Linked DNA regions of Caenorhabditis elegans. The protein of the gene in region 1 purifies or fractionates together with the protein of each later gene. This does not show direct contact. Each region holds a gene or a part of one and is shown in the gene's direction. Other genes may lie near its edges. The genes, in order: C06B3.6 and gly-5.

Evidence for each region.
Region 2: the proteins of C06B3.6 (region 1) and gly-5 fractionate together in Caenorhabditis elegans (co-fractionation; one large-scale study listed by BioGRID). This does not show direct contact.

The regions. Positions count from the first base shown.
Region 1 is NC_003283.11:13,907,625-13,911,187, reverse strand, and holds C06B3.6 (DUF3444 domain-containing protein), read left to right. Parts: upstream 1-2,220; 5' UTR 2,221-2,229; coding exon 2,230-2,500; intron 2,501-2,550; coding exon 2,551-2,727; intron 2,728-2,775; coding exon 2,776-2,990; 3' UTR 2,991-3,058; downstream 3,059-3,563. Other genes in the region: C06B3.7 (uncharacterized protein), read right to left, coding at 1-256, 315-655, 1,343-1,368; stdh-1 (Putative steroid dehydrogenase 1), read right to left, coding at 3,212-3,538.
Region 2 is NC_003281.10:13,185,462-13,190,414, forward strand, and holds the start of gly-5 (Polypeptide N-acetylgalactosaminyltransferase 5), read left to right. Parts: upstream 1-1,930; 5' UTR 1,931-1,989; intron 1,990-2,648; 5' UTR 2,649-2,674; coding exon 2,675-2,782; intron 2,783-2,837; coding exon 2,838-3,101; intron 3,102-4,666; coding exon 4,667-4,785; intron 4,786-4,953. UniProt on the Caenorhabditis elegans protein: Catalyzes the initial reaction in O-linked oligosaccharide biosynthesis, the transfer of an N-acetyl-D-galactosamine residue to a serine or threonine residue on the protein receptor.

The DNA.
Region 1 (3,563 bases):
TCTGGTGGTTTTATCAAATGATAAGCAACTACAGTTCTTTTTCCAACTTCCAAGTTTTGGAGTTTCTCATTTTGAATCAACTCTGAATCAGTTTTGCTTGATGTTCTATTCCAAGCCAAAAAATTGTTTGGGTGTTGTCCATGTATCGAGTCAATCGATGTTATCTTATATTCTGGTTTGACATCAGCATAAGTGTCCAATTCATGCATTGTACATATTTTGAGTTCATTCCAATAAAACTCGTATCGGAAGATAGCTGGAAATAAGTATCCAATATGATACTATCTGAATTTTTCCCATTTTTTGCTACTCACTTTGCCATTCCCAAGTGCTCATTGAAACTCTTTCCAAAAACATAACATCTTCCCCTTTATGCAACTCCTGTATTTGTCCCATAAGTTCTACCCGATCTGATTTATCAATTTCCCAATTTCTTCTCTTGTTCATTGAATACATAACAAATGGTTTCAAGTCTTTGCTCATAACATTTCTGTCAAATTTCTCCAAATATCTATTTGTAAATTGATCTTCTCCAGTCCAAACATAATATGTCTTCACTATTATTGACTTGTCTTTTAAAGAAGCCAACTGGTGTTCGACACCAGCGTGGCTATCATAGCTTTGTGATTGGCGTGGGTTTTTGCATTCATCAGACCTATAAAATACTTTAAAAAGAGTTCCTGAATTGTAAAGTAAATTTTTTAACTGATTTACAGAAAGATTTTTTGGTAAAAATTGACGTTGCTTGGTTTTTGGTGAAATTGTTTAAAAATAAAATCTATTTCATTTTTGTTGATGTAATTGAAGAGAAAATTTCACATGCAAAATGGCTCAAATCTGTGTATTCAATTTTGTCGCTCTTGTCAAAGAAATAAGCAAGTACGTCATTGTTCACACGTTATCTTTGAAAAAACTGTCAAATTTACACCTACCTACGGGAGTCTAAACTTTTCCCGCACACTTCATACAAATTGATAGAAAAGTGAACATAAAAATGGGTAAATCTACACTGTTTAAACCTAGCATCGTGGGTCATTAAAAAAGGTAGGCAGGTAGGCTCAAAAACTTGCCCTTAAAGTTAAAAAAAACAATTAACGATCCAATTTTTAACATTTTTCAAAGTTCTCGAACATAAACTCATTTCAATTTTGTTGTTATTTTTTTCTCCAGATTTTTGATCCACTAGCACAATAATCAAAAGTGAAACTTCAGAAAACACCAGACTATTTTTCAAGTATTGTTCCCTGAAGGGTTCAACGATTACACATTTTATGCCTACACTACGTTTTCTCGTAAATAAACAGAAAAACATGCGGAGAAGTAATATAAAAAGCTTACTCACCAGAAATATTCCTGATCAGCTTCCATGGAAAATATACAAAAATCTTTGAATAGGTTGATAAAATATTCATATTTTTGCCTCCTTTTAAATCCATTTTTTCGCGTAATGTGCAATTCTTTAACTTATTGGAAAATATTGCGAAATCCTCAAGGTTTCCATTCTCATTTGTTTGTGTTCTCTAACCTCCCTCCCCATCCGCGAATAGTGACGTTTTATTGGTGATCATGAGTCAGTTGATTGGTGTGTGTTTTCAAGTCATTTGCTATCTTGCTGGTTCTTTGAACTGTCATGCGGTTACATTTGGTATAAATAACCTCATGCTTCAATTCGTTTTCACTTTGGATCTTTTTCCATCACGTCACTTTTTTCAAAACTTTTAAAATATTTAAATTTATCAGGTTTTTATCAAACAGTTTGTATTCTCTTTTTTTATGTTATATTTTTCATGTTTTCTTAAAAAATTCTTCCAGCCACAAATTTTCCCAACTTTGTTTCTACTTTGTTGACTATAATTTCAATTTCAATTACATTTTTTTTTGGTAAAACGATCTAACTGTTGAACTCACTTTTTTCAAAATAGGTCGGACTCCGATGGTTGATTTTTACTTAACATTTTTCTGTGTATTTTTCGTAGACAGAAATTTTACCATAAAAAATTTGATTCCGAATTTGCAAAATTGTTTTAACAGGAAAAATAAATCTGCTGAAACCCAAGAAGACGAACAATTATTTATGTTCCATTGAAAATTTTTGAAATAAATTTACGCTCAGCTCCAACTTTCGAAAATGTTTTATTGCTTACAAATTTACCTTTCACCTAATGCTAACTCCAGTTTTCTCTCCATCTCTTTTCCAAAAAATTTTGTGCCGATTTTCAGACTTTCAAAATGAAAAGAGACGCTAAGGACCACGCCAGAAATCGTCTTATGAATTTCTATATCAAAAAGGCTCCAACCTACTCAGCAATCGTCAAAATTGAGCATTTTGAGAATGATGCTCCATCCGAGGCCAAAGATTTTGAGCCATTAGTAGTATATTCACTTAACAAAAAGAAAAGATGGGAGATTAATCAAGAATTCCTTGATTCATCATCTGAAGGTGATGACTCGAAATCAGTGATTATTGATAGAGAAATTCCCGATCTCTACTTTGCTTGGTGTAAGTTTTCAGAACAATTAGGCCTTATAATAATTAATTTTATGTTTTAGGGAGTCTCGGAAACGTCCATTCCCATGACTGCGTGAACCACTCGAAGCCCGTCAACTCTAGTCAGATTGACAATGCTAAAAAAGAGGAAAAAGTTGTTGGCTACCACATTGTCCGAGTTCCAAAGAATCACAAAAAGGTGTTTGACAATAAATGTATCAGATACATTGGTCTTCGATGTAAGTATAATTTAAAAAATCCAGGCTATATAAATTTTGATATTTAAGATCCTGAATTCCTTGGCTATTCTTCTAAAGATTGGCCCGCACTACAATACGAAATGAAAGAGCTCGAAGAAGAACATGAAGAACTCGAAAAGGAAAATGCTTCTTTGGAAGCCGAATCTACCGAAACTACCAAACCAACAGGGTTTTACAATTTAGACGAGCATTTTGTAGCAAAAAAGCAACGAAAGCCAAAAGGATGGCTGACTGTGGAATGAATTATATGTTTTACAAATGAATGATAGATCTGAAAAAATATCGGGTTATTAATAAAGTATTTATGAAAAATATACTAGTTTAATAGTTATAACAAAACAGTTACAGTATAGCCCCTATGTGGAATGCCATAGTTCACATTTCATGTACTCTATTTATAAATTTGGAAATCAAAAAATTCATTGTAAATAATACAATAAATTTAATAAAGTTTCAACCACATCTACATCAAAGGCTTATTTTCATTCTTTGCCAGAGCCTCACGGAGCTGAGCACTTGTTTGCTTAATGGATCTGTCGATAACAAAATCTGGAAGCAATTTCAGCATTTCGCATTCAATTTGATGAGTAATGTATCCAGTTGTTTGAGATGCATGCCCAATTGTGTTCAGAGCTGACTTGGCAAACGTGTCACTGTCAGGGGTGAAGAACGACGTATTCGGGTTTCCAGCCATTTTTGTTGCAACCATTGCTGGGGTGATAGCTTGGAAAATAATTCCTTGGTGTCCATATTCCTTTTGAAGACATCCTGTGATCCATTCAACGTATTTCTGAAAATATATTTGTATATCAAGA
Region 2 (4,953 bases), on another chromosome or scaffold:
CCCAAAAAATGTGACTTCAGCACGTTCTTAACCATTAGAAATTAATTGAAAAGTCTGCGTCTCTTCTCCCGCATTTTTGTAGATCGAACCAAAATAAGACACTTTAACACCACGTGCGGAATTAGAATATCTCTAGAAACATTTTGGCGGGAATTCAAATTTCTATGGAAAAATTTTTGCGGGAATTCAAATTACTATGGAAAAAATTTGGCGGGAATTCAAATTTCTTCAGAAAAATTTCGGCGGGAATTCGAATTAAAATTGTGTATGCACCTTTAAGATTACTGTATAATGTTTTTTTTTCAAATTTTCTTATAATTTACAGATTTTTATAGCTAATTTGTGACCGAGTAGAACTTACTTACTTACTTAGTAACTATAAGAAAACAATAACAATTTTTCTAAGATCAATTTAAAGGCGCTCGCACAAAGTAATTTTGGAAAGGGTCTCACCGCGCCAAATGAATTTTTCAAATAATTTTTTTTCGCGTTCTCATTTTTCCTAGAAATTCCAGAATTTTTGTAGTAAAATTGCAAACATAAGCCCTTTTCGAAATATTTTTTTTCTTCATTAATCGAAAAAATAAGATGATTTGTAGTTTAGCCTAGCCTATAGACATTTTCGTTCCCCTCTCACTACAAGTAGGTGTCTCTGACATTCTCTTCTCCAACCTATTCGTCATGCTCAATTGAGCACGTCCGGGGCTCTTCTAACCAGCAAACAACTCCCCCCAGTTATGACCACGTTTCTCTTTTGTCTTCTGGGTTCACTATCAATAGAAGTTTCCATTTGAGAAGTATGCAAAGGGCGTGGGCGTCTGTTTGAGCAAAATGGGTGTGAATGGTAAGATGGATGATAAGGGGGAAATGATGTTTTTGACGTAAAAAATTTTATAATGTGGAGTATCGAAATCTTTTTAGAACAATTTTAAAATGACTCCCTGATTCCGATATTTAAGTGAAAAAAAAAACTGTGCTTTTTTTAAGGTCACTTTTTTTGTTATATCATTAAAAAAACTAACAAAATTTGTGATTTTTAGGCGGGAAAAGCATATATTTGGATTTTTCGTCCACGGGGTTCTGGGCATTTCTCATTGAATTTTCGCGCTCCATTGATAATCGCCTGCCGGACAGCGCGTGGAAAAGTGTCGTGTACTCCTCACGGACAGCAAACTTCAGTTTTACAACTAAAACGAGCCGCGACGCGACACGCAACGCGCCGTAAATCTACACAAAATCTCTCCGACCCAAAATGGCCTAGTTCGGCAAACAGCCAGAATTCCGTGGAATTCGTCGAGTTTTGACCTAAGAAATGGAAATTTTGTTAGTTTTTTGGCAAAATAATATTTAATTGACCTTAAAAAACGAAACTTTGGAAAAAAGCGACGAAAATGAAGATATTGAAAATCTCGTAAATCGACACATCGCGATTTTAAGCTGAAATATAATATCAGGGAAATTTTTTAGAATTTTTTCACTTAGATATTCGGAATCAGGGAGTCATTTAAAACTATTTCTCTCACAAAATTTCTAGGATACACGGAAAATCGAAATCGTGACTCATTGCGAACTTGAAACATTACAGTTCTCGAGCACATTTGAACTTGACCGAAACCACCGAAAAAAGTAAATATAGTGTGAGAGAGAGAGAGTAAGAGGTATTAGAGAAGCTAAAAAAGATAGTGGTTCTGTTCTATGCTCTCTTCTTATACACCCTCTTCCCTTCCCTTCCCAACTGTTCAAATATTATCGTTAACATGCCTTGCATGCTGCTGCTCATCGTCATTGTCCACGTCAACCTAAAATTTTTAATGTGAATTTGAATTCAGTATGCCTTGGGTCCGAAAAAGTTTGCATTATAAATTTCCTTGTTTTACTCGAATTTCCAATACTACTACTACTTTTCACAATTTAATTCGTTTTTTTTCAGGCAGCAAACTTATATTATCAAAATTGAGGGATATTGAAGCATAAAACGGAGGATTTTCGGTAGGTTACGGTACCCTGGGTCTCGGCACGACAAATGTTTGAAAAAAGGTGTGCGCCTTTAAAGAGTACTGTAATTTCAAACTTGTTCATTTGCGGAATTTTTATTGATTTTTTAGTTTTTCGATGAAAATCTATTAAATTATCAAATATCTAAAGTAAATTTCAAAAAGCTGAAAAATTAATTTTAAGGCGCACACCTTCAATGAGTACAAGGATTTGTCGTGTCGAGACCTGGATCTGTATTTCTGACGCAAAAATCTGAAAAGTGTCATATTAAACAATATTAAAGAAAAAAAAAGAAAAAAACTAACTAAAAAAATCTGTTTTAACATTGAAAACTTGATCATTTTGAGGTCAAACTAGAAAATATTGATTTTTCTTCGAATTTCTATTGATTTTTTTGTTGCTATTTATTAGTTTTCCTGAAAATTATAGTTTTTCCATCATATTCCTGCCAAAAACATGTTCCACCGATTTTGTCCACGTGTAGTACGTAGTTGTCGGTTTCTAGGTCACCACCCGTGTACTACACGTGGACGATGTGTCCTTATTTGGAGTTTTTGTCGAAAAATTTAGTTTTTACTGGTTTTTACTGAGCTGAATCGAAATATTTTGAGAAATTTCCCAATTAAATTAATCAAAAATTAATTTTTTTGCAGATACGGGTCGATTTTGCCGCTGAGAAATGATTATATTCAAGAAAAAGGCGATATTAAAAGTTCTCCTCTTGGTTCCAGTTTTTTGGATTTGCTCGTTGATTTTTTTCGCAGCAACCAGCAATGATAGTAGCCAGGTATCAAAAATCAAAAATAAAAAAAATAAAAATGTGATTAAAATCCCATTTTCAGATCGGATCAAATAACGATCTCGCGAATAAAATTGCGGAGGCGAATTTCCACCCGAAAGCCGCGAAACAAGACGTAATTCAAGGATTTGGGCCGCCGATTGAGCCGGAACCTGTCGTAGAGAATAATAAAGTGGAAGAAGAAGAGCAACCCGGCGGGAACTTGGCCAAACCAAAATTTATGGTCGATCCGAACGATCCGATTTATAAAAAAGGAGACGCAGCGCAAGCCGGAGAGCTTGGAAAGGCAGTTGTCGTCGATAAAACTGTGAGAATTTGATTATTCTTGAGGAATAACGGTTCTTTGAACTTGTGGACTCAAAATGTGCTCAAATTCTCAAAATTGCGAAAAAAATGAGCCAAAAATGACTTAAATTGGCCAAAAATTACCAAAAATGATTTTAAAAATGAAAATATTCCGTATAGATTTTTAATCATTTTAGGGCAATTTCGGTCATTTTTTACTGATTTTTGGCTGATTTTCCATCATTTTAAGTAATTTTAGTTAATTTTAGGCCAAATTTGGTTATTTTTGGTCATTTTTGGTCAATTTCTGTCATTTTTGGCCGATTTTTAATCATTTTTGGTCAAATTTGGTCATTTTTCAGAAATTTTTAGTCACTTCAGCGCTCGGAAATTGCCGAAAATTGGCCAATAATGACTAAAAATGACCGAAATTTGCCGAAAATGATTAAAATGTATATAATATACCGTATTTCTTCTATTAATATGGCCTCCCTATTAGACTTGCACTCCCTATTAGTATTGCTCCTTGAAAACCCTCCGAAAATTAGTATTGCAGTTAGTGTTGCACTCCCTAATAGTCTTGCATCTACTTTTTTTTTTTGGTACAAACCCACCCTACTAATTTTGAGATTTTAACAACATTTTTTGCCTACTTTGCAACAATTTTGGTAAAATTTCTATGAAATTGAAGTTATTGTACCTTTTTGTTGCAATTACAATCAAATTTTCTGAATTTTCACATAAGATTCGAGTTTTTTCAGGAAAAAAACTAGTAAGCTCAAAGTCAGAAAATGTTCTGAAAATTAGTATTGCACTCCCTAATAGTCTTGCACTCCCTATTAGTATTGCAAGCGGAAGACCATCGAAAAATATTATTGCAGCCATATTAATAGAAGAAATACGGTACATATTTTCGGTCATTTTTAATCATTTTTGGCCGATTTTCGATTATGCTTAGTCATTAAAAAAAAGACTAAAAAATTACCAAATTTGGTCCAAAATCACCAAAAATGACTGAAATTGGACAAAAATGAATAAAAATTTCTAAAATATTTAATATTTTAAATATTTATGTCATTTTTGGTCATTTTTCGCCTATTTTGGGCCAAATTTGGTCATTTTTCAGACATTTTTAATCACTTCAGTGCTCGGAAATTTTCGAAAATTGGCCAAAAATGATTAAAAATGATGTCTAAAATATTTTAAATATCAAGTTATTTTAAATATGAAATATTTTCGACATTCCTGGCCAATTTCGGTAATTTGTAGTCATTTTCAACCGACTGCTGATTATTTTTGGTCCGTTTAGGTATTTTTAGCAAAATTTAGAAATTTTAGTAATTTTTGGCCGAATTTTCATTTTTTTTTTTGGTCACATTAGGTAATTTTTAGGTGATTTTGGGTAATTTTTAGTCATTTTTATCCAATTCGCGATCATTTTTTAGCCACTCTAGGTCATTTTAGGCCGATTTCGGCCCCCAAAATCTAAGATTCTAGTGGAAATTAGTTCTTTTTTTTTCGAAATTTTGATGTTTTGCCTTTAAAATCAACGAAAAAAAAAAACTTTATTTTCTTTCTAATTTTCAGAAACTATCGACCGAAGAAAAGGCAAAATACGACAAGGGAATGCTCAACAACGCTTTTAATCAATACGCATCTGATATGATATCAGTACATCGAACTTTGCCAACTAATATTGATGCTGAGTGGGTTTTTTTTTATTCCAAAATTCATAAAAATCGAAAAATTAATTTTTTTAAATTTCCCTAAAAAACTGAAGTTTTTTTGTGATTTTCCGGAAAAAAAGAAGAAAAATCGAATTTTTTCAAAAAATTTTCTTTTTAAAAAAATCGAAAAATCGATTTTCTTGCAAT